Notamacropus eugenii: one gene and its partners. The protein of the gene in region 3 interacts with the protein of the main gene of each other region in a pairwise test. Links are inferred from orthologs where the notes say so. Each region holds a gene or a part of one and is shown on either strand. Other genes may lie near its edges. The genes, in order: RPL15, IGFN1, MEOX2 and CSF2.

The links.
Region 1: the proteins of MEOX2 (region 3) and RPL15 interact in binary tests that used the Homo sapiens proteins (3 or more experiments, as listed by UniProt). The two-hybrid records come from large-scale screens. The link is inferred for Notamacropus eugenii from reciprocal best matches to the Homo sapiens genes MEOX2 and RPL15.
Region 2: the proteins of MEOX2 (region 3) and IGFN1 interact in binary tests that used the Homo sapiens proteins (3 or more experiments, as listed by UniProt). The two-hybrid records come from large-scale screens. The link is inferred for Notamacropus eugenii from reciprocal best matches to the Homo sapiens genes MEOX2 and IGFN1.
Region 4: the proteins of MEOX2 (region 3) and CSF2 interact in binary tests that used the Homo sapiens proteins (3 or more experiments, as listed by UniProt). The two-hybrid records come from large-scale screens. The link is inferred for Notamacropus eugenii from reciprocal best matches to the Homo sapiens genes MEOX2 and CSF2.

What each region holds. Positions count from the first base shown.
Region 1 is NC_092874.1:30,595,583-30,603,330, forward strand, and holds the start of RPL15 (large ribosomal subunit protein eL15), read right to left. Parts: upstream 3,012-7,748; coding exon 2,840-3,011; intron 2,435-2,839; coding exon 2,298-2,434; intron 1-2,297.
Region 2 is NC_092873.1:439,459,237-439,466,393, forward strand, and holds the start of IGFN1 (immunoglobulin-like and fibronectin type III domain-containing protein 1), read right to left. Parts: upstream 3,009-7,157; coding exon 2,905-3,008; intron 2,822-2,904; coding exon 2,241-2,821; exon of another isoform or gene 2,053-2,240; intron 1-2,052. Other genes in the region: proton-transporting V-type ATPase complex assembly regulator TMEM9, read left to right, coding at 3,007-3,099, 5,378-5,469.
Region 3 is NC_092874.1:8,791,183-8,798,459, reverse strand, and holds the start of MEOX2 (homeobox protein MOX-2), read left to right. Parts: upstream 1-4,264; 5' UTR 4,265-4,693; coding exon 4,694-5,237; intron 5,238-7,277. UniProt on the Homo sapiens protein: Mesodermal transcription factor that plays a key role in somitogenesis and somitogenesis and limb muscle differentiation. Required during limb development for normal appendicular muscle formation and for the normal regulation of myogenic genes.
Region 4 is NC_092872.1:344,048,829-344,056,363, reverse strand, and holds the start of CSF2 (granulocyte-macrophage colony-stimulating factor), read right to left. Parts: upstream 3,014-7,535; 5' UTR 2,833-3,013; coding exon 2,680-2,832; intron 2,579-2,679; coding exon 2,537-2,578; intron 527-2,536; coding exon 398-526; intron 1-397. UniProt on the Homo sapiens protein: Cytokine that stimulates the growth and differentiation of hematopoietic precursor cells from various lineages, including granulocytes, macrophages, eosinophils and erythrocytes.

The DNA of each region.
Region 1 (7,748 bases), about 22 Mb from region 3:
TTATGCAAAATACCAAAGGAGGAGAGTAAGCACCATCCAATGTGCTTATTAGATATGCCATATCTCATTTGATCCTCACAGCAGCTCTGGGAAGTAGCTATTATGATTTCCATTTGAGAGCTGAGGAAACTGAGGCAGGGGAAAATTAAATGACTTACCCAGGGTCACAGAGATAGGAAATGTCTGAAGTCAGATTTGAACTCTGATTTTCCTGACTCCAGGCCCAGAGTTCTATATCCTCTATCCCCTACCTGTTTCTAGGTTCCCAGGCTAGAAAACTGGCTTCAAATTACCAAATGCCTCTGGGATTGTTTAGAACATGTCAATGATGATTTGGTTTGAACTTGGTTCCTAACACTTAGGGGTATGACCCTGGGTCACCTTAATCTTATTTTCTTGCCATCAGCCCTACTCCCTCCCCATTTCAGGTGGGGGAAATTTAATCAACACTACCATTGCTAGGGAAAAGAGTGTGTTGACTCTACCTGCTTCTCCTTTTTCTGGCCCAGATTCCCTCTAAACTTATTTTCAATCTAAGTTCCTTGAGGGCAGGACTGACCTGTTGTGTCATCTCCAAGGCTTAGAACAAAATTCGGTTCAAAATAATTAACAGATGCATAAAGGACTTAGGGTCTGCTGAGTGCAGTTCATAAACTCACAAAACCAGATCCTGTAGGAAAAATTAGTGAAGCTACTGAATGTGTATGGTGAGGGTGGGTTTTACAGTAATTGAAGAAAAAAAATTAATGGTTTTCCACCTTTACATATAACAAAATGAATATAGACCTACAACAAATGCCTGCTGTTAATACATCCAACTCTACCCAATTGAAAACAAAAAAAATTTTTTGAGTATAATCTGTTTTTAACTCTTAGTAATTAAACTACAATCAATAAATACATACTAAATGCCTACAGAACAACAGTCTGCCTCTGCCCTCAAGTTTACCATCTAAGGGGATAAGGGTATGGTTAGAATTAAGCTCTTTTGGTCATTACAGCTTTTCAAAGTACCACCAAAATAATGCCTAAGGTTTCTGCAGTCCAATTAGTTCTGTTTTTGCAAAGTTCTGTTCAAGTATCAAATTAAGAGCCATTATATTTACTGAGTTCCCACTCCTGAGCTTATGTGTGTGTGTGTTCGTCCTTTGTTGCCAACGAAGACCATGCCATCAGAGAAACAATGACATGACTTGCACTTGATTTTGTTTGGAGTGAGGGAGGGCTGTGCAGGTCACCAGCCTCACTTCTCCACAGCCATCTGAATCCAGTGACCAGATATTCATCAGGATAACTGGAGATGACCCAGAAGGAGGCAATTTGGGTTAAGTGACTTGCCCAAGGTCACACAGCTAGTGAGTGTCAAGTGTCTGAGGTGAGATTTGAACTCAGGTCCTCCTGACTCCTGCACTGGTTCTCTATCCACTGCACCACCTGGCTGCCCCCCTGATCTTATGAATAAATTATAAATGTGCCTTTAACTGTTTAGGTTCCACTCACCCCATCATGCATTAACAATCCTTCCAATTAGTCAGATTGATGTTAAAGTTTAACATGAATAACAATTTATCTCTTCTCAACAGTCAATAAACACTATTAAGCATCTCCTATGTACTTTCCATGTGCTAAGCACTAGGGATACAAAGAAAGGCAAAAAACAAACAAAAAAACAAAACTCCACAAAAACCCAACCCCCTAAAACTGTTGTTGGTCTCAAGCTCAGTCCAATGAGAGGGACAAACTATGCACAAGATATATATAAGATAAATTGAAAATCAACAGAAGGAAAACACTAGGTACACACCTTTTCTCAGGAAAATCTAAGGGTTTCTCAACCTTTTCTGTGACATGTTTAACACTTTTAGCAGTCTGGAGAAGTCTATGGATGACTTCTCAGAATGTTTTATCGTCTACATTTCTAATGGAAGGAAATGCTAATTTTAAGCAAAGGTCACTGAAAATAAAGATTTAATTTTCTCCCTCATCCAATTCACTACCCCTAATTAAGCACCTTTGACCCAACCAGCCACACCCATATATTATCCTTCAGTACCCAAATTCTATGTCATTTCTTTCGAAAGATATTTTAATGGCAATTTTAGTTCTGAGCTTGCCCAATAAAAAAGCAAGTGACAACCTCTGAGACTCAGAGTAAGTTCAGGGTCGCACAGCTCATGCCAGGGCTTAGACAGACCCAAGCCTAGGTGCTCTGCCTCACTTGAACAGGATTATTCCATCACACCACACTGTTTCTCATCTCTAAAAGCACCATTTTAAAAAGAGAAAACAAATCTTACTTCTGCCACAGACTGAAGGCTCCTGGCAAACTTCAGCTGATTGACACCATGATGCACAGGTTTACCATAGGTCGCACCCTTGGGAACTGGGCGCTTTCGCCCACCACGGCGGACACGAATTCGGTAGATGACGTAACCTAAAACGAACACAAGTTTTTTCTGTCTACAAGCTTTAGCTATCAAATACAACTGTCCGTAACCCCCCCCCCCAAATAGAGACGTGGATGCTTCAAACTCACGAGTCAATTATATTACACGTCAGACCCCAAACTATCCCCAAAGCTCTCCTCTGAGCGCAGAATCCCTGAGCTTGTACAGGGCTTTCCTGCGGGCTGCGCAGGCAGACAACACACAATCATGCCCAGGAAGTCAAGTGCCCGAAGCTCCACGTGCGGCCTGCGGGCCGAGGCTGCATTAGGACACAGCAGGGGTTCTCCTGCTTCTAGTGGGAAGTGCCCCTAACCCAGGACCAGGAAGGAAAATAAGCCTAACGAAATACGGAGCCCGCCCCGCCCCGCGCCCCTCCTGCGCTCGCCCCGCACCTTGCTTGGCCTTGTAGCCCAGCCTGCGGGCCTTGTCGGGTCGCGTGGGCCGCGGCGCGCGGTGCAGCGCAGACAGCTGGCGGTACTGCCAGCAGCGCACGCGCAGTAGGAACCGCATGACATCCGACTGCTTCTTCCTCCACAGCTCCTGGATGTACTTGTAGGCCCCCATCCTGGCTCACGCCTAGCCTGCAAGAGAGCGCGCCCGCCTCATAACCGCGTCCCCGGAAGACTCGCCGGCCGCAGGGCCCAGTCTGCCGGGCCCGGGCCGGCGGCCCTGGCTGAGGGCTGGGAGTCGGCGGCCAGCCGCGTCACCTCCCTGACTCTGGTCCAGTCTGCCCTCCGCTTCGAACCCGGGGCGTCCTCTCCCCGCTCCCGCTGTCCCGGGCCCCGACCAGAGCCCGCATCGCGCGGCACACGGGCCAAGGCCCCCGGGCGCATGGGGCCCGGGCTCGGATGGCCCAAGCAAAGGGCAGATTACGGGCGGATGGTCCCAACGACACACACAATCCCTACCTGCCTGATGGCTGCCGCCGACCGGAAAGGAAGAGTCTGCCTTCCCACAATGCTTTATGGCCTCTTCCTCACCACAGAACCCCTTTCCGGCTCAGGCACTGCGCGGGCGCACGGCCTTATGGGAATCGTAGTCCTTCCGGCGGGTATCCTGGCGGCCTCGGAGGGGGCGGGACGGAGGCTCGGCCTACACGAAGGGGAGGAGCCGGGAATGGCAGTGCCTGCCGCGCACGCTTCTCTTCCAGGGGGGCGTCCTGCACCGCCCATGCTCTGCCGTTCCCTGGGTGGTTGCAGGATGCTCGGCGCCGCTCCGGACGGCCAGCCAGGAGCCTGACCTAAGGATCGCTCTGGGGCGGGGGAGGGGCAGGCGAACACGGACTGCGCTGGCGAGAGGGTGCGAGGGCGCGTGCGCAGCTTCCCCGGCTCGGCTCTTCTCTCGGCAGGTAACGCAGGGAGCTGAGCGTGCTTCCCTCGGCCTGTAGAAGGGGTGGGAAGACGACGTTTCTCCCTTGTTGGGGCAGGGTGAGCCCCGTTTCTTCCGCCCCACCCCCAAGCTCCTCTCGGGAGGATCGGGTAACGGGGTACAGGTGGGGGGAGGGGGTGAATTTGGTGCGAAGACCTCTGACAGTCGTGACCCTGCCGGGCCACCGTCTCTCGCTCCCTCCCGTCCCCCTCTGCCCCCCACCGCCGGAAGGGCTCTCCCAGCATCTCCCTCCCCGCGGGCCAGGGGCTGGGGGCGGGGCGCTCCTCACCCCTCCGGTGGACCGGGGGATCTGCTCGTGGGGCTGCCCCCTTCCCCTGCCTAGGAGCGCCCACGGCGCGGGCCTGGCTTCGAGTCCCGCCTCTGCCTCCCGACTCCCCCTGATCTTGGGAGAGTTCAGTTCTTTAGGTCACTGGCTAAAGGAGCGCGGGACCCGGAGTCAGCCGGACCCTCCAGAAGCGCGACCGGGGCATGTCCCTTTGGCCTTTCTGCCTCAGTTTCCTCATCTGTACAATGGGGACCATAAGAGGGCCTCCCCCGCCGGGGGCTGTGAGCATCACGTGAAATAAGGACGGCCGGGGTCGGACGCACGGTCGCCGAAGGATGGACGGCGCTCGGGGTTTCAGCCACAGTCACGCGGGGCCCCGGGGGCTCGGAGCCAGCCCCTTGTGTGGGAGGCGCTGGGGTTCAGGGCAGGGGGACTGCCCGGGGCGGCGCCAGGCTCGCTTCCCACGATCCGTGCACGCACACGCCAGGTATAAAACCTCCCCGCATCCCTCAGGAGCTGGGCTTTTGGGTTGTCAGTCTTGTCTGGCCCCGTTAAACAACCCACGGGACGTGTTTGTGTTTAAAGAAGGGCCGGAACGAGGCGGGCGGGAGAGCGTGGCGGCGGGCCGGAGCCGTCCCGCAGCGTGGGCCTCTGCCCCAGACCTCCCCACCCTCCGAGCCGCAGGACTGCGTGGCGTGGGAGGGCAGAGCCGGGGGGCAGACCGGGAGGCGGAGGGCCGCGGACTCCGAGGCCTCAGCCAGCTCTGGAGCCCGTGGTTCCGTGAAGATGAGGCCCATTGGAGGCTTTTTAGAATTTAAAGGTTTTAAAGTTTCGTGTTAGAGGGCTATGTTAAATGTGGAGTCCTTAAGAATGATGCCAGCCTAGTGAGCGTGGCTTCCGCAGTTAGAGTACCGGAGATGAGTGCTTGGCGTGATCGCCTTGTGCGATCCAGAGCGCAGGTCAGTTAGCGTCAGCAGGAGCTCCCGCGTCAGTTTCACCTGATAGATTGTGGACACTGTATCCAACCAAACATGAATGTTTCTGGATACAAAGAATAGAACAAGAAGATTGTGTACGAACTAGGGTCTCTTAGAGTTTGTTCTTTCTAAAGTCTGGTGGACCCAACACAGCCAGGCTTGTCCCTATTCCTTTCTGAGTGTGCTTCTGCCTTTGTTTTTAAAATGTCTCCTTGACTCTTGGTTTTTGCATGACCAGCATTCTCTCTTTATTTCCCCAACCACTCTTCCCCTGGATGCATTACTTTGATGGAGGCCCGTGACTTCCTTCCTCCCCATGGAAAAGTGCAGGGGTGCAGAACCTGCAGCTTCCAGGCCACATGTGGCTTCCTTGGGTTCCAGACCTGGCTCTGCCACTTAGGGTAGAGGATGAGATTTAAAGTTGAGGAAACTGAGGCCCAGCATGGGGATGGCTCACCCAGAGTCAGGAAGTAATTTAAGGAGCAAGAGCCAGAAATCTCAGGATCTTTACACTGCCCAGCAAGTTCCTTCTTCATTGTGCCGCAGCTCTCTCCCTTACTGGGGGCTCCGAATCAGCCATTCAATCCTTGGGAAACTCATCGTATTTTCTAAAAGATGCTGATAACTGTAGTACTTATGCTGCCTTTTCCCCAGTGGTGTTACTGGCATCAAGTTAGGTAATATATGTAAAGCTTTTGCAAACCTTAAAACCTATAAATGCTAAGTATAGCTATTGTAGGTTTTTTTGAGGGGAATGGGGAGGAGGAGAGAATGGGATCGTGGATTCAAACAGAATCAGATCCCTGTAGGCTGTATGTGTGTTCGTTCTTCATTGCCAAAAAAGACTATGCTATCAGAAAAATGACGACATGACTTGCACTTGACTTTGTTTTGAGTAAGGGAGGGCTGTGCAGATCACTAGCCTCACTTCTCCTCCAGAGCCATCTGAATCCAGTGACCAGATATTCATTATCAGGATGACTGGAGATGACCCAGGATGAGGCAATTGGGGTTAAGTGACTTGCCCAAGGTCACACAGCTAGTGAGTGTCAAGTGTCTGAGGTGAGATTTGAACTCAGGTCCTCTTCACTCCTGCACTGGTGCTCTATCCGCTGCACCACCTAGCTGCCGCCTGTGGGCTGTATATTGACTTAGAAAATCACAAGTTAACATTATATTGTATTTTGATTTATTTTGTTAAACATTTCCCAGTGACTTTTAATCCAGTGCTTCTGAATTTGGGAATTCCCAATGAGGAAATTGCTTTTACGACTTGTTAAAATTTTATTTTTCATTTAATAAGTATTTATTTTCTCTCCTTCCCACCCCTAATTAAAAAGAAAAAAAAGAATCATTGCTATATCTATATCTCTGCAGAGTGAGGCACCGTTCCATAGCATCCAAAAATGTATGTGTTTGCTTTCTTTGCTTTTTTTGCTTACTTTTCTCATTTACATTTCTTATGGCATAATATTCCAAGATATTCATATATCTTGATTTTATTACCTAAAGTTTAAAAGGGAAACAGTTAACTGGGGGAAAAAAATCTATGCAGCTAATTTCTCTAAAGATCTCATTTCTGTGATCTATAAGGAATTGATGGAAATGTTTAAGAGTTAGGCCATTTCCCCCAGTGGTCAAATAATATGAACAGGCTGTTCTCCAAGGAATAAATGCACGCTATCAACAGCTGTAGGAAAAAATACTACAAATCAAAGTGTTCTGAGAAGTTAAATTAAAGCAACTCTGAAGTTATACCTTGGCTTATAGCTGTTGTATTGGCAAAGACACAAACAAGGAAAATGACATGTTAGGGAAGATGGAGCAAAGCAAGCACACTGATGCTGTTATTAGACCTTTTTTGTCATTATGCCCAAGAGTCACCTAACCCAAAACCATCCAGAAAAGAGAAAAGGACCCACAAGTACAAAGATATTTCTGTCATTCCTTTTGTAGTGGTGGAGAACTGTGCCAGGGGTGCCCTTTTCTTTTCCCCCAGGGGCAGGAAGGGGCTTCAGTTGGGGTGAAACTCTCAAGGCAGATCTATGTCCATTCCACAGTCGAAGTCTTGGAGACTTTAAGTGATGGCACTGCTGGTAGACCTTGAAGCCAGCTCTGACTTCTAGGCTAAAGTGCCTTATTTATTGTCATGAGCGATCCTTTTGAGCATCTTTTGAGCAACGTAATCCCTCTCAAATACCCAAATTTTAAATAATCAAAATGCATTTGATTGGAAATTGGCTTTTTATAGGCTTTGTAGCTTTCACGCTTTGTAAGCTGCAATTTCTTGTTTCTGCCAACTTTTCCTGTTCTTGCTGTTATACCCATCCATCTGCTGTGGTCTGGAGATCTAAATAACCAAACTAGTTGGAATTGTGTATGCAGCAGGAATCAATAAATCCTGGATACCTCTGCTACAAAGTAAAAGTATATGGGGTTTTTATGATAGTGATTTCAGCTGCTCATTGGCATTTTCTGCTGTTTCCAGATTCAGCTCCCGTTCTAGAGTCTAGACAATTAAGGTTGCCTAATTGGGTGTCTTTCAAACAAGTGAGGTGTTACTCCAAAAAAAGTTTAAACTTGTGGTCTCTATGTCATATTTAATATTTTGAAAGCCTACCTTTTACTGAGGGAATCAAGGAGGAATTTCTTTTAATAGTGAGTTAACTA
Region 2 (7,157 bases), on a different chromosome or scaffold from region 3:
TTAAATGCCTAACTCAAATGCATGGGATTACAAAGCTTTAATATTGATTTTAGTGAAACAGAGCTATCAAAGTTCTTTTACAAACAAGTTCTTGGAACTCGCATTAAGAACTCTTATTATTATAGTATATATGAGGTGTCATATATGTGCAGTGGACATTATATATAGCATATATTACATTTGGCATATGATAAAGATAAAATCTTTAATATTTCCCTTGACAACTTTGAATATATGAGGAATAGCTACCTTATTACCAAGTATTTTAATACTTTGGTTTAGATGCGTAGGAGTAACTAGGTGGCACAGTGGAGAGAGTACCAGGTTTAGAGTCAGGAAGACCCTATCCACTGTGCCAAGTAGCTACTCCCTTGGACAGGTATAGGAAGAACTTCTTCTTCTCCTCCTCTTCTTCTTCTCTTCCTTTTTTCTTCTTCATCTTCCTCTTCTCTTTTTCCTCTTCTTCTCCTTCTTCTTCCTCTTCATCTTCTTCTCCTCCTCTTCCTCTTCTTCTTCTCCTTTTTCTTCTTCCTCTTTTCAAGTAATTCATACTCACAAAAATAATAAAGTGATTCACAGGAAAGTGATAAGGTATCAACCCACCTATAAAATAAAAGGATTGGACTAGATATCTATAGCCACTTTTAGCTCTAACATTCTAAGATTCTTCAGGGAATGATATACAAAATATATTCTCTAGAGGTAAATACATTATAAAAGGAGACTAATAATAATTTATATGTTGTTGTTGTTCAGTCATTTCAGTCTTATCCAACTCTGTGACCACATTTGGGGTTTTCTTGGCAAAGATACAGGAGTGGTTTATCATTCTTTCTCCAGCTCACTTTACTTAGTGCTCCAATCTCTGTGCCTTGAAAATTTGCAGAGGATGTGGGTGGAGAGGTTTGAGCCTAGTGCTCTAGCTGGCCACTTGATTCTCTCGGCACAGAGACCTCAAAAGCAGTAATGCTGGTCACAAGGGTACTTCCTACTGCTACCTGTAGAACCTAGCCTGGGCCTTCAGGTTTGGAATTCAATTGAATCAACAGACATTTATCAGGTACCTCCTGTGTGCCAGGTATCCAGCATAGCCAACAGAAAAATGTCCTTGAAGTCAGTTTCACATTCCACCATTGTTGAATACTAACTATGTGACAAGGGGCACATCCCCTTACCTCTCAGAGACTCTAACCATGGGCAGTGATAAGTAGGACCTCAGTGCAGTGAGCTGCCTTGGAGAAGTTCCCTACAATGATGAATTATGGGTTTGCACTGAAAACAAAAACAAGGAGCCAACAGCACTGCAACAGATATTCAAAACAGTTCTTACCCTCAAGCCGCTCACAATTTACTGAATCATAAACTAATTGGGAGTCACGGAGCAGGTGATGCACACCCTGAGGCCCCAATAGGCTCTTGATAAGTAGTTTTTTAAAAGAATGAATGCATGCCACCTTTTAAAAGTCCATCAGGTAGCCCCGTACTTCTGAATAGCATTAATACACCTCTAAATTGGGCTGAGATGGGTGTAGGGTGGGAAGTAGGGCAGAGAGATGTCAGGGCACACTGCCTGCCAAGAGAGTTAGTTTTAAAGCTCCTCAAACTCTAGAGGCAACGTGGAAGGCCTCCTATATCTTACATCAGCAGGAGCTGGTTAGGAATCCCACCCCTGATACTTATTGTCTAATGACCCTGGATAAGTCATTCTCTCTGTACTTAATCTGCAAAAAAACAAAAACAATTAAACACAGTGGCCTAATTCTTGCAAAATGCAAGGACACCCCCTACTGGGGGTAAGGACTCTGACAAAAATGGCTGGAAAAATCGGAAAGCATTTTGACAGAAACTGGATGATCTCGCCGGCAGTGGAAGCGCGCAGTTTGGATCAGAGGGTCCGAGGTCTGCTGAACGCTGGAGGAGAACTCAGAAAACCTTCTCATCCAAACCTCTCCCCAAACCTGCCGCGGCGGTGACTTGCCGAAGGCTGCGCAGAGAGCTCCAAAGACCTGAGATCCTGCACTCTTTTCTCTACGCAGGAGGACCGCGTGCCTTGAGAGGCTGGAGGGTGGACTCGAGTTTCAGGTGGGCAAGGTGACGCCAGGCACCTTCCAGTTCTCAATCTGTGGATGTTCTATAGACCTTTCCAGTTCTGGACTTCGGTTTTTCTGCCCTTCGTTCGGCGACGCTCCCTTTTCTTGCCCATTTGGGGTTAAGAAATGCCCTCCGATCCCTGGCAGTACCTTCCAAACGCCCCCCCCAAGAAGGCGGGTCTTTGTTGCCGTGGAGACAGCCTGAGTCGGGGAGAAGGGCACCTCCAAGAGCCAATAGGAGCTGCAGTGGGGCGGGGCCGTGCTGGGCCCGGTGCTGATGTGGAGAGGTTCGGAGGTTCGCCGCAGGACTGCTGGGGGAGGGGCGCGGGGGCTCGGGGGCTCGGGGCCCCGGGGCCTGGGGTGGGGTGCGGGCGGCTCCGGCCCGTCTCTGCCGGGCGCGGGGGGCTCTGACTGCTAGAGCTGGCCTCAGACGGGGCTGGAGAGGGTTGCCGGGGCTCCGGGCCTGCGCCGGGGAGCAGAGGCTGGAGCAGCTTGGGGCGGAGAGTGGGGACCGGGATGCGGACAGGATGCACAGGGATGCAGGCGCTCGGACGGGAAGCGCACAGCGGGGGGTAGGGGCACCGGGGCCGCCGCCGCGGTGCGCCCGGGGGTCCGGGCGGAGCGCTGTCAGCCTGGATCCGCGCTGCCCGAGGAACTCGAAGCACCGTAGAGATAGGAGTCGGGGGCCTCCCCCAGCAATTATTCTCTCCCGTTCTGACGATCGGGGGGACCTGAGACCCAGAAAGGGGTCACTTATCTAAGAAAAGAACCCAGGCGTCCTGCCTCCGAGCCGAGTCGAGCAGGGTGCAGTCACTCGGGCTTTGGGGACTTGGGGGAAAACGTGAATGTCGACTTCACTTCCCGCTTTTCACTTCCCTCTTCCCCAGCTCCTTGTCTCTCTTCCAGGTGACTGGTCATGCTGACCCAGCGAGCCTTGACAAGCATGAAGCTCTTTCCCCTGGTGGCGCTGGCCTGCTGTCTGGCCATCCCCCCAGCTCAGGCCGGCAAGGTGAGCGCTATGGTCTGGGCAGATGGGGAGGTTTGGCTTTGCTGGTTTACGTAGCGGCGGCCAGAACCTAGCGCAGACTTGGCCCTCCCTAAAAGTACCTGTAAGTCCCTCTGTACTTTGGGGATTCGGGAGATCTACGCCAGGTCTCGTGGTCCGGTCCTCTTAGAGTCAGAAGACTTGAATTTCGGCCCTAAATCCCACTGGCTTCTGCTTCTCATAGCCTCAGTTTCCTCAGATTACAAAATGAGAGAAATTGCTCTCCCCCTGCCCCCAAAGAATTGTTGCTAGGAGAATGCTTTATAAACCTTAAAATGGAATATTAATTCTCTGATCCTGTGTTTCGGTTAATAAATGAACATTTTTGTCTTGGTCGTCGGTTCAATAGATGCTTATCAAGGACATACTGTTTACAGGGTAATGTACTGGGGGCTGGAGAAGCTGCAATAATTCAATGAGACACAGCCGTTGCCCTCAGGGAGCTATAACAGAGGTAGAGTGATAGTAGAATCCCTGGTGTGAGAAGTTTTTTTTTTTCTCTGGTCCCTGCCTTGTATCTAATTTTGTGTTTATTCCTTTGTATTCTGCATATACTTATATATATCCTGGTTGTCATTTCCATTCTAGAGTAAATTCTTGTGCATAGGTATTGTGTCATTTGGGGCAGATAAGTAGCACTGTGGATAAAATGTCTTGCCTGGAGTCAAGAAGACTCATCTTTCCTAGTTCAAATCCAGCCTCAGACAGCAGCTGAGTGACCCTGGGCAAGGCACCTAACTCTGTTTGCCTCAGTTTCCTCATCTGGAAGTAAAATGACCTCAATGGGGTCATGAAGAGTCTAAAAAGACTCAATGACATTGTTTAATTTATTGTACTTTTAATCATTCCCAGTGATCACCTAACACAATTCCTGGCACAAAGGAGGTACTGAATAAATGGCTTGTTGAGTGATTAGATTAGAGGACATACAAGAAGTCAGAAAGACCTGGGTTGGAATGCTGTCTCTGACTGCTATGGATTACTTAACTCTAACTTTTGCTTTCTTTATCATAAAATTGGGAGGTGGAGACCTGTAGTACTTGTTCCTCAGAATCCTCAGATGCTCAGATGAGATAATGTCAAGTGCTTACAAACTTTAAAGTGCTGTGAAAAAGTCAGTCTTGTTTTTTACTGTTGTTGTTATGAAGACCAGGATAGAGATGTGTCAAGGGGCAAGCATCCTTTCTGTGGCTTTGCCTCAGTTTACCTCATTGTGAAATTATCATACCTCCACTCCACTCCACTCCAGAGTTCACAGACCTAGGCATTCTTTCTCCAGACCCCTAGAGAAAGGCAACCCCTATTGCTGTTCAGTGGTGTCTGACTTTTTGTGACCCTATTGAGGGTTTTCTTGGCAGAGATACTGGAGTGATTTGTCATTTCCTTCTCCAACTCATTATACAGATGAGGAAACTGAGGCAAACAGAGTCAAGTGACTTGCCCAGGATCACATAGCTAGTAAATATCTGAGGTTGGATTTGAACTCAGGTCTTTCTGACTGAAGGCCCTTGCTCTATCTGCTGCACCGCTTAGCTGTCCCACTTAGAACCACATATCTTAGGCAGGAAAGGACTTTAGAGATTGTCTAGTTTCTTCATTTTACAGATATGGAAACTAAGACCTGGAGAAGTTAAGGGATTTTCTCAGGGACACAGCTATGTAGTGGCAGAGCCAAGATTAGGCTCTAAGTGTCTTGCTCTGTTCCAGTGCTCAAGCCTGCAGCTTTCTTTCAGGACAGGAGGCTGTTGCTAGCTGAGTCTAGGTCCAGGAAAGATGAAGATGCAAAATCAAATTTGATGAGTATTAAAGAAAAGTGCAGCCTTAATTCTGAGTCAGAGAGAAAGCTTTGCTAAGAAGACCTTGGTTTTTCCCTTTATTTCCCCAGTTCCTGGCACATAGTCAGCACTTAATAAATGCTTGTTAGGCAGGTAGATGGTGAGAATAGAGCAGAATAGGAAAAATCTGAGTTCAAATTAGCCTCAGACCTTTACTAACTGTATAACCCTGGACAAGTTATTTACCTCTGTCTGCCTCATTTTCCTCAACTCTAAAATGAGGATAATAATACCCAACTGCCAGAGTAGTTGTGGCTTGAATGAGATCATTCTAAAGCTGTTAACACAGTGTCTGAGACACAGGAAGTGCTTAACAAGGCTTGATAGGGGAGTCACAAGGCAGGGGCTTTTGCTAGGAGTTGGTGCCCTGCCTCCCAACCTGATCTTCGTTTCCTGTTCTCTTCCAGAGCTCCGAAGACATCCGGTGCAAATGTATCTGCCCACCGTATCGTAACATCAGTGGACACATTTACAACCAGAATGTGTCACAGAAAGACTGGTAAGGCACTACTCAGTTCAGTCATCATTCCTCACAGGGGCTTCCTCAGGAATTCATCAGTGTGCCTGTCCTTTAGGGCTTCAGATGGAGCCGAGGCCACTACTTGCCAGGAATGCTTAGAGGACATTGCTGTTTAACTATGGGTTGCATTAGATGGCCTCTGAGTTAGATTGTAACTCTGCCACTCATCAGCCACATCTAGGGTCGAAGATTAATTGTAGATCTTTTGGAAACTGTTTTTTCATAGATCTCTGGGGAAACAGCTATTTCTTGGAGAGATTGAGGAAGTAAGCTCTATTGAGTCACTCTATCATCAAAAATGGGGCCTGGGTTCCCTGTCTCCCAAAAGAAGTGGTTTGGTGATTTCGTTGTTGTTGAATCATTTCAGCTGTGTCCAACTCTCCATGACCCTATTTGGACTTTTCTTGGCAGAGATATTAGAGTGGTTTGCCACATTTCTTTCTCCAGCTCATTTTTATAGATGAGGAAACTGAGGCAGTCAGGGTTAAGGGACTTGCCCAGGGTCACACAGCTAGTAAGTATCTGAGGCCAGATTTGAACTCAGAAAGATGAGTTTTCCTGATTTTAGGCCCAACACTCTGTCTGCCTTACCCCCTAGCTGCTGTTTGGCAAATGGCCGGTTATTAAATTTAAGTCTGTGGTGCTACATTTAGACTGAGATTGGGAAAGTTGGGGGAGCAGAGTATTCTCTGAGATAGGGGGAGGGTGAAGGGAAGAAAATAGGACAATTCTTTGACTTTTTTTCAAAGCATTTTCATTTGCATTATTCCTTTTGATACTTATAAGCTCACAAACTGTCAAAGCTGGTTAGCGTAGTTGAAAAAACACTAGAAGTCAGAAGTTCTGGGTTCAGATCCTTACTCTGTCACTCCATGAGCAGATCTGTTCATTTCTCCGGGCCTCTGTTCCTTTATCTGTAAGGAGATGGTAGGCCTCAAGGATCTTTAATACTCCTTCCAGCTTTGAATCCTCTATGGACAATAACAACTGTCATTTGCAAAGCATTTTAAGATTTGCAAGGTATGTTACATACATTATGTCATTTGAACTTCATAACAACTCTGTGGGTAGGTATTATAGTTATTTTTATACCTCATTTTACATATGAGGAAACTGAGGCTTACAGATACTAAGTGACTTACCCAAAGTCATACAACTAATAACCCAAGTCTTCCCGACTCCAAGCCCAGCACATAATTTATCCACTAGGCCATATTTCCTCTTGGAACAGCATCACTGAGCCTCAAATAGATTGTGACAAATTAACAGTAGGACTAGAACTCAGGTCTCCTGATGGTCCGAGATCCTTTTCCATTTGCTAGTTTCTTCCTGTTCCTGGCAGATTCCATCAAAGCCAAAAAATGTAAGCTCTAGGAGGAGGTCCCTCCCTGATTAGCTATTGTGGCCATGGCTTGATGAAGTGTCTCGCTCTGCCTTGGCCACACACAAAGCTGTCCAAACCACCGCTCCTTCTTCCTCTGAGCACTGGATCAGATGTTAGCATTCCACACCTCTGGGTACAGACTTGCCTCCCCAGCACTGCAGAAGCCAAGACTTGTTATCTCTCGCTGGGACCATTCACAAGGCTCTGTCTTATTTCCTTCTCTTCCCCTCAGTAGTCAAAATTGGGAGGATCTAGGAAAAGGGGCTTTTTTGACGTGTCATGG
Region 3 (7,277 bases):
TTTCTTAGTCTCTCTCTAACTCAATTTCAGTCTTTCTTTTCTTTTTAATTACACAGAACTTCAATCTGGTGGGTTGTGATGGTGCTGCCTATGTAGGGTGCGAGGCTGCAACACTTGGCTACTTAAAGAAACAATCTTCCCCACGTTCAAGATCGCTGGGATTCTTTTTCTAACAAGGTCAGCGGTTTGAAATCGTCATGTAAACAAAGCATCTCGTGACGTACCAGATGATGGTCTCCGAGCTTTGTTAAATAAATAAATAAAGTTGTTGGCCTGTGATCTCCTTTTGTGATTTTGTCAGGGAAGTGCAGAAACAAAGGGAACTGAGTGCATTAAAAAGCTTCGATTGCTGCAGCAATCCTTACCACAGCTTTCTTTTCCCAAGCTTACGAAGCACTTTCCTTTTTGGCAGGAAATGCCAGCGTTACCGCTATCCTACAGACGAGGAAACTGAGGCTCAGAGATTTTTATTTTTTCTTTTCAATTAATATTTACAGAAAACTTACAATTTCCATGCCCATATTTATGCCAGTCTCCGTAGCGTGACTTTGCAGAAACAGTCACAACATGGGAGCCAAAAAATAAATAAATAAATCAAGCATCCTATCATTTCAAAATTAATAGAAGTGATCGGGAACTTCACACAGCTCTCAGACACTGAAAGGGATACCTTAGCCATTCGAGTGGAATTTTATCATTCTGCTTTGCTTTCTGTAACTGATGGAGAGAGGGAAAATAGAAAGTACGGCTGTGCGTCTCTTCTTTCTCCCTTACTCTTGATTGTATTTACATACATGCATACATACATGCATACTATATAAGACCCACAAAGAAAGATTTCTCCGAATGGGGAAATTACGAGATAACCAAAAATCAAAAGATTTTACTTCCAAACATGATCAATTTTTAAAAGTGACATTAAAAAAATCATGCTCCTATTTATGTGTATATATGCGCGCATATGCACATCTGTATTTATATTTAGTATTTTCTCCAGGAAACGATGAAATTCATTTCAAGTTCAGTTTCCTGTAACTTGTGGAAAAGGACCTGCGTGCATTTCTCCTGTAAGAGCCTTCTAGCCTTCCTAGAAAGCTAACTTACGCGTGGAGAGGTGGTCCTGAATATCTCTCGAGTTCCCCACACCTTCACCTTAAGCTTTGGACTGGGAGAGTGTCTCGCTCCTTTGATTCTCTCTCTCTCTCTCTCTCTCTCTCTCTCTCTCTCTCTCTCTCTCTCTCTCTCTCTCTCTCTCTCTCTCTCTCTGTCTGTCTCTCTCTCTCTCTGTCTCTCTGTGTCTCTGTCTCTCTCTCTCTCTCTCTCTCTCTCTCTCTCTCTCTCTCTCTCTCTCTCTCTCTCTCTCTCTCTCTCTCTCTCTCTCTCTCTCCCTCCCTCCCTCCCTCCCTTTCCAGCCTCTTCGCCAGCTGCTTCTAACGACTGATTGACAGGGGCAGGTTGGTTGAGAATTTCAGGACCCTATCATAGGCCATCCATTAACACCTGATCCAGGAGACCGACAGAAGAGAAGTCAGCTCAGTACTAGGACAGTCGAGAGGAGAAATTAGTCAAGCAGGCGTCTCTTGGTGCTAATTGACTAGGTTTACCTGAAATACAGTTGTTCTAGGAGGACCTAACTCTCCAGCATGAGAACTCTCTGGTTTGAACCCTGGGGCATACGAGCTAGTCTCTTTCTTCTCAGCGCTCCCAGAGCTCAACACAGCTCTCAACCGGTGCGGATCCGATTCAGTCTCCCTGGGATTGAAGAGTACCAAGTGGGAAGTCGCGATTTCCCAATGTTCTTGGTGCCGCGCGGGGATTGGGGTGCCAAGCTTTCTCTTGACCACCTTCTTAATTCCTCCCCACCCCCCTGCCTTTGCCCACAGGCTAGCTAGGGCTAACCAAGCTCAGAGTCCTGGTGAGCTTGTTTTCCTTTGTACTTTAAGGTTTAATATCAGAGCCCATATTGAAACCATAAACACACGGAGAAATCAGACAAATATTCCACCCCGATGGTAACCGAACCGCCCCCTCCCTTTCCTTCATACGCTGGGCCCAGCCCATAGTCCCCTCTCCCCTCAGAAGGGAGTAGTAGGTACCCCTCCACCCTTGCCATGCTTTTGGGAGAGTAGAGGGCCTCATCACGAGGAAGGGTCTCCCTCAGATCAGTCAGGGCCCGTCTGGCTTACCGTTGGTCCCTGGCCGTCTACAGCTCCCTGTTCTCACCAACACTGCCCTAAAGAGCAGGGCAGGCAGGCAGGCAGCTGGTGGACAAAAGTTTTCGGTTTTTTTTTTTTAAACCAAAGTCTGCAAAACTAATTTCCCTCAGAATAGGGCTCAATTTCCGTTTAAGAAAACAGCTCTCACAAATCGTAGAATTCCTGGTCCCCCCCCCCCCCCCACCCCAGCCAAGGATAATAATTTTATCTTTCACATGGTTCTGAGGTTGTGTGGCCATCGGCAGCCCACAAATTGTCCCAGGGATTAAAAGGTAAAAGGGGCGTAAACAGGAGTGAGGGAGTACAGGGATGGAACAAGTCGGGCTTCAGTGAAGTTTAGGGAACCCCCTGAGTGGATGGTAGAGAGTATTCCTAACAAAAGCCGCATGTCCGCTCTATCGTAGTGTCTCTTCTTTCCTCTTCAAAGATTCTGGGTCCATCACTATTCGGGAGGGACACTTGAGACAACGAGAATACTGAGGCCCTCACGTTCTTTCCTGAGACTGCCGTCAGGCTCAGATCTTGGGAAGGAGCCCAGATAGGGAAGAGTATTTACAGCTCGGATTAGGGTCTGACATACTTCTACAGACTCTTCCCACCCAGTCTGTGACCTTTATGAATCCATTGCCCTGTCTCAGTCCTTAAAGGGGAGGTTAGCACCCAGAAGTGGTGGTGGTAGATCAGAGAAGTGTCTAGGGTGTGTTCATGGGTTATTTGCCTCCCTCCCCCCACCCCACCCCACGCACACACACTAGAAGAAAATTCCCATCCAACTTCCCGCAAAGGTAAGTTTCTAAGGCTGAATGGACCAGACGACCTCTGAGTTTCTTGCAACTTGGAAAATGAAAAATAAAAATTGGTCAGGTAGAAAACATCTGTATCCTCAGCTCCCGAGAAGGAGCGGCCAACCGCCCCCCCCCCTCCCCAATCCCTCCTTGGGGAGCCGAGGGAGTGGAGTCTCGGCGTTCTCCATATACCAAACCCGAGTTTGAAGGTTTGTGAGTTTTCTTCAGAGTAGGGTGGGATAAAAAGGGAGAAACCTCTCCTGAGGCATTGAGCTGAGTCTGGGGATACTATAAACACATCTCTGCACTGAGGACTAGTTGATTTCTGATTCTTCTAGAGAATTCAGGCAAACGGATCAAAAAAAGACCTTCGCACAAAGGGCTGTTTGTCTCAGCCCGGTGTGGGACTGCAGGTGAGGTTGCTGGTGGTTTGGGATCAGGCTGACTCCGCCTAAGGTTCACTTCCTCCCTCTCCCACCCGGTTCCTCAGCCTCTTTTCCCCTTGAGATAGGAGTCTATTTCCGCCAGAAGTCCAGTCAACCCCGCAACTTCAGACAGGGCTGCTACTCTGTGACCCATCAACTATACGCCCCTCTGACCCCAGAAAAAGGAGAGTATGGCACGGTTCCCGCGACCCCTCCGGGGAGCAGCATCTGCCCCAGCTTCTGGCTCCGCCTGCAGAACTAGGGCACTGCCAGGTTGTCGGCTCCTACCCTAGCGCAGCTACACAGCTTCTCCCAGCGGCGCCTATTTGCAGATGTGCATGCAGATGTGCATGAATAGCAACAATGTTTCCAACAAAGTAACAAATAAGCAGAAACAAAATTTCCCCGGAAAGAACAAAGTGGAACTTTGCACCAGTTTTTCGTGGGCTCGTACGCTCAGGATCCGAGAGCGGGTGGGCGTGAGAATGGGTGTGCGCCTGTGTGTGGGTGTGTAAGTGTGGGTGTATGTGTGTGCGAATATATGTGAGTGTTTGCATGTGTATATGAATGTATGTATAGGGGCGCTCCCCTGGGGCCGTCTATCAAAACTACAGTCCCCCCCCTTTCCCTGGGGGCCCAGCTAGGTGTGCCACCCAGGAGCTACCCGGGCTGGGGGAGGTGGACAGAGGAGGCTCGAGGAACCCAGGCTGGGCGGCGGCGGCGGAGCCGGCGGGGAGCGGAGCGGCAGTTTGGGAGGGAGTCCGCATGTGGTCAGCGCGGGGTTCCTAAGCCAGCCCCCAGCTCACATTACACTCTATTTATAACCTCCCGGAGCCGTTTCCCCCTCGCAGGCAGGCAGCATTCTCTGGGACCACCTTCTCTTGGCTTCCACCTTTCTCCTCCTCTTCCTCCTCCTCCTCGTCCCCCTCCTCCTTCTCGTCCTCCTCCCCCTCCTCCCCTTGACATCCGAGCGTCCGAAAGCAGCAGCGCAGCGGGAGGATTCCTCCTCCTTCCCTCTCTTTCTCTTGCTTCTTCCCGGGGCTGGCGCAGCCGGCGGCCGGCCGGTCCGACAGACGCACCGCCGGACTCAGCCCTCCAGAGTTCTCTTGTCCCGTCGCAGCCGGGCAGGCCGGGGCCAAGCGGGACAGCCCGAGGCCGGACCGGAGGCTGCGGCTCTGAGCACATTGCTGGTTTACCCAGGACAGCGGAGGTGGAGGCGTCCGTCCGCAAGCTCCCGCCGCCGGGCAGCAGCCGCGCCTCGCATGCTATGGAGCACCCGCTCTTCGGCTGCCTGCGCAGTCCGCACGGCACAGCGCAGGGCCTGCACCCTTTCTCGCAGTCATCCCTGGCCCTCCACGGCCGCTCGGACCACATGTCCTACCCAGAGCTCTCGCCCTCCGCCTCGTCGTGCATAATCACTGGCTACGCCAACGAGGAGGGCATGTTCGCCAGCCAGCACCACCCGCGCGGCCACCACCACCACCACCATCACCACCACCATCACCCCCAGGCACCCCCGCCGCCTCCACCACCGCCACCTCCGCCTCAGCATCAGGCTTTGCAGGGAAGCTGGCACCTCCCGCCCCTGGCTTCGCCGCCCGCCGCCGCCCGCCACAGCCTGTGCCTACAACCAGACGCCGGCGGAGGCCCGGAGCTGGGCGGCAGTGCCCAGGGTTTGTGCGCCTCGTCCGGCAGCTTGGGGGCCAGCACGCCCACGGGAGCGGCGTGCGCGCCAGGGGACTACGGGCGCCAGGCGCTGTCACCCGGGGACGCGGAGAAGAGGGCGGGTAAGAGGAAGAGTGACAGTTCAGGTAAGGAGCCGTCGGGGGGCTCAGGGCGATTCCTCGCTGGGAGTGGGCTAGGCCAGCTGCCTAGTGGACCGGCACCGCCAGCGTGGGCAACTGGGCTCATTTCCAGAGGGAGAGGCTCAGCGCGCGCGCGCATACACACACACACAAATCACACAGAGACTAGCACACAGGTACCAACAGACAGAAGAGTACCCTGACGGACGCATTCAGAGACATACAAGTGACTAGCTATAGAGACTGATGCGCAGACCCATACACGCTCAGGTGTCTGGGCACTGACAGGCAGGTTCTCTGACACACACAGGAGGACAGGACATACGCAGAGACAGTCACAGATGCATAGACGAACAGTCACATACACACAAGAACGTGTGACGTATTTATTGAGTGTTGAAAGCGCGGTAGACTTGCAGCCAATGAGTATAATGGAACTTCTCTCAACTTCGCGAGGCCATGGTCAGAACTCCTCGAGCCTTTCCCGCTATCTAGGATTATGTGGAGACGCTCGCTGCAGTACCCTTGGCTACGTAGACTGAGGCAGGGACTCTGCTGGCATCTGGGGCTTAGGGGAAACTCGAGAGCACGTGACAGCGCCTACTCTCAGTTGCTCAGTTAGCATTTTCTCTAGGCTAAAAAGGGAGATTTGTGGAACAGAGTCTCTGTTTCGCTTTTGCTGGTGCCGGGCCCTTAGTGGGGCTGCCTCGGACTCACTCGGCAGTCACCAGCCAGCCCTTCCTCCCCCTTTTCCTATACTTAACTGGATTTCCAAATTCTTGTGCAATCTTTGGAACCTTTGCAGTAGAACCTGGCAAAGTTCATGAGAAAAAAAACAAACATATATCCTTTATTCTGAATAAAGAATATTTTAAATAATCCAAGATTCCTAAAGTGAAAAAGTGGGGATCCCTGAGAATTGGGGAGTAAGGGGCAATTTCCAAAGTCTGAAGTTTGCACTTGAGTCTATATGTAAAGGACGCCCTTTGTGGATTTCCAAAAAGTAGTTGCCCAGTTAACTAATCGTGTATTGGGGGAAAAATGTTTCTTAATATTGGTCGCTATTAAGGGGGTGCTTTCTGGAGCACGAAATTCTCGTATCCGCAACAGGGAAAGTTGTTTCCCAAGTGGTGAGAACCCAGAAGACAAACAGAGGGGGTCTTGTCCAAAAGCTGAGAGTGTTGCCACATGCCGATTTACCCAGGGTTCAGGAAAACAAAACAAAACAAAACAAAACAAAAAACAAAAAACAAATCCAAGCCTGAGGCACTCAAGGTTGCTCCGATGGGGAAGCCGTAGCAAAGAGATTTGGAAATCTGATCTGTCAGACAGGAAAAGGGCAAGGCGAAGTATCTCTAACTCTTTGTAAAGATTCACCGCTGAATTCACAGCACCAGAGCCAGCGAGAAAACTAGTAAGCGATCTTTGGGTAAGGCATTCTTGGAGTATTTCCGGTAGCAAGCCTAGGCACCTTATTTTCTTCTTGAATCTAAGGACTGCCATGATGTTTTTGTTTTTTTTTAAACAATCATTTGGTAAATGTATCCCACCCCCCTCATTTTATGGGTTATCAGCTTTAAAAAAATTACCAAAACTATAGTAAAGTCAAAGTGACTTGAGATCTTGGGCTTAAAGTGTTTTATGTGGGATCCGAATGTTCTTCAGCATTAGGCTTGAAGGAGACTTTTTCAAGGAGGCTGTGAGGCAGATGTAAATCATCCTGTCACAACTTCACAATCTAGCCCCTTCTTTTGAGTGTTAGGAGTGAACATAGCCTTCCCACATCAGGGCTTCTTTATCCAAGAAGAAAAAAAATCCATTTTCTCATACATTATTGGTGGACTGGACAAATCAGGTGTAATGTTCTTAAAATGGTGACAAATAATAATATTAATCAAACCTACTGTTATACCTATTTCCTTGGACATGGGGAGAAGGCAGGCACCTTCAAAGTCCAGACATTATAGAATTTGTAAAAGTCTCTTATGAACACAATATTTTATATCGCTGTAAGTGAAAGACATTTTAGGTCACATATTTAGGCAC
Region 4 (7,535 bases), on a different chromosome or scaffold from region 3:
CACACAGCTAGTGTCAGAGGTAGGTTCTGAATCTAGATTTTCCTGATTTTAAGTCTAACTTTCAATATACTCTGCTGTTACATATTTTAATATATACATACACCATGGAAATAATTTGTTCTTAAAACATACATACACATATATGGGTGTTTATACTTGAAATATGCAAAAGTATAATTATAGAAACGTATATATTGTGTAAATTATTTATACAATGCATGTATATACTTAAAATGTGTGTTTCTACATAGATACATATCTCCTTGTTGCTTTAACCTGCTCTCAAATGTGATCTTTCCTGGTCTATACAAGGATTTGGTAGCAATGAAAAGCAAACCTGACCATTTCCACATCACATCATTAAAACAGAGAACATTCTGTAACAGAGAAAACTTACATCGAGTGAGGGACATGAAGATGCATTGAAGCGGGTAGCAATCTCCTCTAGGTTTTTCTTGATTGCTTGATCACTTGCATGTAAACCATCAGAAAAAGTCTTTATATGTGTCTGTATGCATTTGGGCTCCTGAAAGAAAAGTCAGTTTGTTGAGTAAGTGTGTCTGAGTCAATGGGATCGTAGCCCAACTCCAAGCTAAAATTGTTATGTTTTGTCACTACAACAGATCCACAGAGGTTGGGGCTGAGTTCTTTCCAATTATAGCATGAGGGATTCCTGTAGCAGTAGAGCTTCTAAGATCATAGGACTTAGAGTTGGAGGAGACCTTTCACAACTATTCACACCCCTTCATTTTACAGATAAGAAAATGGAAACCAATTAATTAACTTGCCTAGGGTCACATGAGATTAAAGTAGCAGATCCTGATTTGATCTAAAATCTTACTTCACATCCTGTGTTCTTTGTATTACAAAGTGAGACATATAAATTGTCAAAGTCTGAGACCACCACAGCACACTCTACAATGACTTGTTCTTCTCTGACACTTTCTGCACATTAACTTGTTTTCAATAGTAGTACTGAATTCTCCAAAGCATTTAGAAAGTTCCCATGTTCTCACCAGGTTTGCCCACATCCCAGATTATTCTAGGAGATTCTGGGAAGGAGATGGTAAGTGCATGTTGTTCATGAGACCCAACAGAGATCATTGCCTAGCTGCTCCCATGTTCTGGATATCACACCTATCCAGTCATTATGCCAACCATGCTTTTTTCTCCCACAGTCAGCGGTCTAGTCAAATATGTGTGCCCACAGAACTGATGTGAGCTGCCGCCCTTGATGCTCAAGGATATGATGCCGCAGCATAACCCAAGCATGGAAAAAGCATAGAACAATCACCTGGAATTAATGTGATTTTCCTGGCTACTCATTGTTAGAGGAGCATTCATAGATTTAGGGTAGAATAAGACCTTAGAGGTCATTTCTCATTTTATAGATGAGGAAACTGGTGCCAAGAGATATTAAATGACTAACCCAAGGTCACATAGCTAGTAATTATCTGAGGAAGGATTCAAATCCAGGTTTTTCTGACTCTAATTCAATGCTTTAGCTGCTACATCCCACTGCCTTTTATAACTCAGTTTTCTGTTGTGAGCTGCCAGCTAACTATAGTTCGATATCTCTGGGACCTGGGGGAAAAGACTCTGAGATGGAAAATTAGGAGTTCTGTCCCCCAAGTTCTAACCTCAGCATAAGAATGATAGCTTAATGAGGCATTAAATAGTACACAAAGTTCTATTCAGCAATGATCTCATCTAATCCTTACAATATCCCTATTCTACCCTCAGCTCTGATGTATCATAGCTATATGATCCTGAGCAAGTCACTTATCCTCTGTGAACCTCAGTTTCCTCACCTATAAACAGGGATAATAATATCTACACTTTCCATCTCACAGGATTATTTGGCAAATGCTCTATGAAATTTTAAGTACTATCCCACTGGGGACTATTATTATTTGCAAAAGAAACTATTTTATGACTAAGAAAAGTGAGACACCAAGCAGACTTGCCCAATAACAAAGCCAATTGGATTTCTGGTTCCAAAACCAATGCTCATTTTTCTAGGAGAGGGGACCCTGTGTTAACAAGGACCTATGCTAGGAGACTGAAGGAGGAGCTCAGAGATTGTTGGTCTTGAGAAACACGGACTCTTTCAGGAGACTGTGGGAGCCACTGTCTGGTTCCTCCTTCCCCTGCTGTCATTTGTCCTCTTTGACTGTGATATCTGAGAAACTATGACTGAGAGTAATCAAGCTGTAGTAGAGACCTAGGGTCGCTGGCACATAAAATAGTTTCTGGTTTTGGCACTTAACTTTTGGCTCTAATAATCCCCCTTGGGGCAGTAGCAAAGGAGGGAGCAGGGGAAGAAGGAAGGTATAGTGTTCAAAACCCTTCAAATAAACAGAAATACTAATGCTGGTGAGTCATGTAAGTTACAAGCCAGCTACACACTAGCTGCCTGCTACATCTTATCTTAAATGGTAACTGATCTGACTGCAGAGGGCTGGGACAAGAATCCTTTAAATAATTTCCTTTAGAAAGGCAGATGTATAGATAGGTGTAGCGGAGTGCATCTTACCTGCCTGTTGAATTCCTCTGAAACAATCTTCACCTCTCTATCCTGAAGAAGAGAAAGCAGATGATTAGCTCACATTTGAAGAAACGGGCAGATTAACTTCTGCAGAGCAAAGGTTGAAGCCAAGTCACCTGTGAGTCACTTACCTTTCCTGGCTCTGTAGTGATATTACGTGATAATTCCAGAGTTTGAGCAATGAGAGTCTCCAGGTCAGGTTCCCTTGACTTTGGGGTGGTGGGCGCCAAGCTGGCAGAAGGGATCAAAGCAGAGAAGAGCAGAAGGTGGAAGAACTTTTGCATTGTAGTTTTTCGTTTCAAGCTTCAGCTCTGAACTGGGCTGATCAGGGGCTGAGAAGCTCTTATATGCAGTTAGAGGAAATGATTAATGTTGACCACAAACAAACCGAAGGAGGCAGGGGAAACTACCTGAGGGATGGAATCTCCGGCTTCTTATCACATCACTGTTACCCATGAGATCCTCAAACACCCATTTACACACCAGTATTACATTTGGGAATTTTATTGAGAGATCGCTTTCAATAACTAGAAGCCCCTGACAAAACCAGTCTGATAGAGAGATTGCCAGGCCCTAGGGAGAAGTGGCCCCAGGCTACAGAGGCTTGGCTACTACACCTGCCTGCTTGGCTCAGGGTGATTTCCAAAGTCTGAATGAACTATCAGTTTGGTATCTAGAACTGGAAAAGTCCTTAAAAGATCTTTTTTTTTTTTTTTCCATTTTACAGATGAGAAAACTGAGATTTAAAGAAGGGAAGGGATTTCCCTAAGCACACATAATTAGAAGAGTTGATATTTGAACCCCAATTTAGTTCTATATCTAGAAATCTTTCTATTCCCTGCCCTGGAATTCTTGAGATTAATGATAGTATCAGAGAATTAATCATTCAACAAACATTTATTAAGCACCTATCCTGTACTACATACTGGGGATACAAAGACATTAACCTGTCTCTGCCTTCAAAGAACTTTCATTATGCCAGGAAAACCACATGTAAACACATGTGTGTGCACACATGTGTGCGTATGTTAGCATTACAGTTTTATCAACCAGGTGGTGCAGTGTCAATAAAGTGCTGGTTCTGGAGTCAGGAAAACTCTTCTTCCTGGGTTCAAATCTGCTCTCAGATACTGTGTGAACCTGGGCAAGTCACTTAACCCTGTTTGCCCCAGCTTCCTCATCTGTAAAATGAGCTGGAGAAGGAAATGACCAACCACTCCAGCATCTTCTCCAAGGAAACCCCAAATAGGGTCACAAGGAATCAGACACTACTAAGATTACAGAGCAATAACAATTCAGTCCTTATGTATATTTGAGATTCTTTCCAAGTAACAGCTAATAGGACTGCATTTCTTGGCCCCAGCTCTCCAACTCTGGCCATCCTGGGAGTCTACAGAACCAGAGTCTGATTGCTTTTCTCGACTGTGACCTCCTGAGCAGTGCAAAGGAAACAGACTATGAAACAATCTCCTATTTCTTTGTTTGGGGAATGAGGTAATAATTCTTCCAATCCCATCCTTTACAGGTGCCTGTGTTTTCAAAAGCCCCTGAGTGCCTGCAAGAAGGTAAGTTGTGACAAAGCATGGGAGCTTGAGAGTTCTGGTTAGTTATTGTACTGATCTGCCTGAGTCTTGGAGTGAGAATTTACTGAATCCCTACTGTATACTCATCCTTGTGCTCTTGCCAGCCTAAACCCCAGACTGTTGATAGATTATGAGGAAATCTGGGATCATATTTACTCACTCCTACCATATTCACTGCTATCAGCAGCACAGACTAGCCTGGTTTCTTTTAAAGCAGACATAAACGTGCACAGAATTTCTCAAATGACATTATGAAAACTAAACACTTGGTGAGCACTCAGAGCATGCCAGATACCTTTACAGAAACAGTTCCTGCTTCCACAGACCTCTACTTCCAGCCACTTGACCAAAAGAGTGAGCCCCAGGGCTTCTGAAGTAGGTGTGTGTATGTTTTGACCTGGCTGGTCAAAGACTTGGTTTAATTTTGGACTTGCTGCCCATGGGTTGGTTCCTCCTTTAAATGAATAGTAACATCTTTCTAATTAAGGCTGCAGTCTTGATTTGGACCTTCTAAAGAACCAACAGAGAGCAAAGGGGCCCTCTCTAAACAGAAAACTGAGAAAAGAGGAAGAACAAAGGACTGGATTCCTAGTAAGGCTCACACCAAAGGGATTAAAGTGAACTAATTCCCACAGGTTACTCATCTGTGTTGTTTCCCATGGGGTTCCTGCTCTCCTATCTCATTCTCTTTCCTGGAGAAAATGTTTTCAGTGTAGAGCTGCCTGGAGGCAGGGGAAATGGGATATGTGGCCTCAGAAATGCCTGAGAATCTAAAGGCAGGGGAGTAGTACATGAACTTCAACTCATCACGGCCAAAGCTTCCAGGAAAAGTATTTCTAAAAGCATTCATTGTGTGGTGGGCAAGTGGGAATGGTGAGGTGTGGCCTTCTAGCAACCAGTTCCAGGAAGCCAGATTTCCTGTCTTTCTGAAGGGGCTTCAGCACCCATAATCTGGATAGAGATTTTAAGATAGAGAAGGCGACTGGAAGTCACCTTCACACACACACACACACACACACACACACACACACACACACACACACACACACACACACACACACACAACTACTGCTACTACTGCTACTACTACTACTACTACTACTACTACTACCACTATCAGGAGGAGGTTAGCGATGAGCAGGTCTTTCTTATTGGAAAGATGACACTTGCTCACTGTGTCCCAGTGACACATGAGAACATTCTTAGATTGCAATAACCACAGAAAATGAGACTGATGCTATCAAGATAGTGGTCGACTACTCGCCCAATGGCTCTGCTGTTATCGCTGAGTCAACAAAGAACGTTTACTAGTGAAATATAAATGAAAGTTTGAGATGACTCCTTTTGCCCAGCATCTTAGAGGATAGGTCAGAAGTGAAAGGGTCTGAATGGTCTCCTTAAAGTAAAAAATTAAAAAAACCTAATTTGTTTTAGGATGGGCTCTTGCAAAGTTTCTTCCAACTGGCTCTTACTTTTCTTTCCAACTATTAGAACTCCTAGGGTTGTTATCTATCTTTCTGAGAGAATTGTCACTGAAAACATGATGCTGACTGTCTATATACATTGAATCCTCATTTTTTTGGTAGGAAATTCAGTCTCCAAGGGATTTTCGGAAAGCAGGAATTTGCTGAGGTTGATTAGAGTCCTCTGCAGACCGGAAGAGCATCCATCGCATGACGTGCAGAATGTGTGCATCTAGTGGAAAATCTAAGTAATGTGAAAAGCCCAGAATTTTCCCAGTGAAACTGTAAGTCATCCATTGTCTTCACATCCTACAAAGAGAACAGTTAGAATTAGGTCACATTCCTGCTGAAGTGTGGCAACTTGTACAAGTCTTTTTAATAATAATTTTGTTATGAAATTAATAACCAGAAACAAAAATTGAAAAATTAAATAAATAAAAAAGTGAGGAATAAAATAATCCATAAAGCCATAAACTCTGAACTATTTACATTTTGATAAAAGGAAAATGATAGGCAAACTTTTAGAAATCCCATAACGTTGTCTGAATCAACATGGAACAGTGCAGAGATTCTGGATTTGGAATCATATGATCTGGGTTCACATTTTAACTCTTCCATTTGTTACTTGTGTAACTTTGATCAAGTCACTGAACCACTTTAGGAATCATTTTTTTCACCTATAACATGAAGGGGTTTGTATGAGCCTGTAACGTGCTGTGTTCCCTTCTGATCTCTTTTTTGACTATACTTTTATCTGATTTTGCTATTTTTGTTTATGCTGTTTATTTTTTATTAGCCTCAGGCAATTCCCAAAGACTACAATACTAGATGAACCACCATCTGTTTTAGCAAAAGGAGTTCCCACACCAGTGAAATTGCAAGTTCTAGACATATTGATGTATTTTGTTTTTCTGATTGTCTGTCTGTCTATCTATCTATCTATCTATCTATCTATCTATCTGTCTGTCTGTCTGTCTGTCTGTCTGTCTGTCTGTCTGTCTCTCTCTCTCTCTCTATCTGTCTGTCTGTCTGTCCATCTTTCTGCATGTATATGTATATGTGTATATAAAATTTTAATGGCATATTAATCAGTAAATAATTATACGATTATGTCACAAATATAGTTTTCCTCTATGACAATAAGCATGTGCACATTTGAAGAATTATATGTTTATTTCTGGAAGCAATCAAAACTGTCATGATCAGAAGCACAACAATTTTGATGTCTGTGCAGTGATTACATGAAACTCTGATTACTTCTGGGTAAGTTCAACATGTTCTTAAAGTTTCTTCACCTGTCACCAAATTGTTTCCAAACCACTGCAAGGTTTCAATATTTAAGTGCAAACTGATTCCCAATGGATGGTCAAACATATGAGCAACTCATCATTTCCGTTCTGTACAGGGCATTCCCCTCTGTTACACAATAATGATAACCTCATCAGCTATGTAAAAACATGATCAAGATGTTATGAATGTTTGGGCTCTTGAGACATAAAGATCAGGCTATTTTAAAAAAAACATGAACACTGGTTATACACATAACAAGCCGTCTTGAAACCTTTTATTTCCTCTCTTTGCAAAATTAAGGCTATTTTCTGATATAAATTTACTTTCCTCTTATTTTGCTAATCTTCTATCTGGTAGATTTTCAAATGAACTGGTGGGCAACACTGCTCATTTGTTTAGTAGAGGTTCTGTGAGAGTACGACTGGTGTTTCAGTGGTAAAGAGGAGAAAAGTGACATCTGAAGAGATATTTTTCCTTATAAAAGTTTATATATAAATATTGTTCAAAACAAAGCAATATATTCCATTTCACTTTAAATGCATTTAACATAGCATTTGTTATTAGTCAGTAGAAAAATAGTTTATACCTTGACTGGCTATTCATTTTTGTTGATTGATTCAGTGGATTTTTTGAAAAGGAAATTCCATCTCT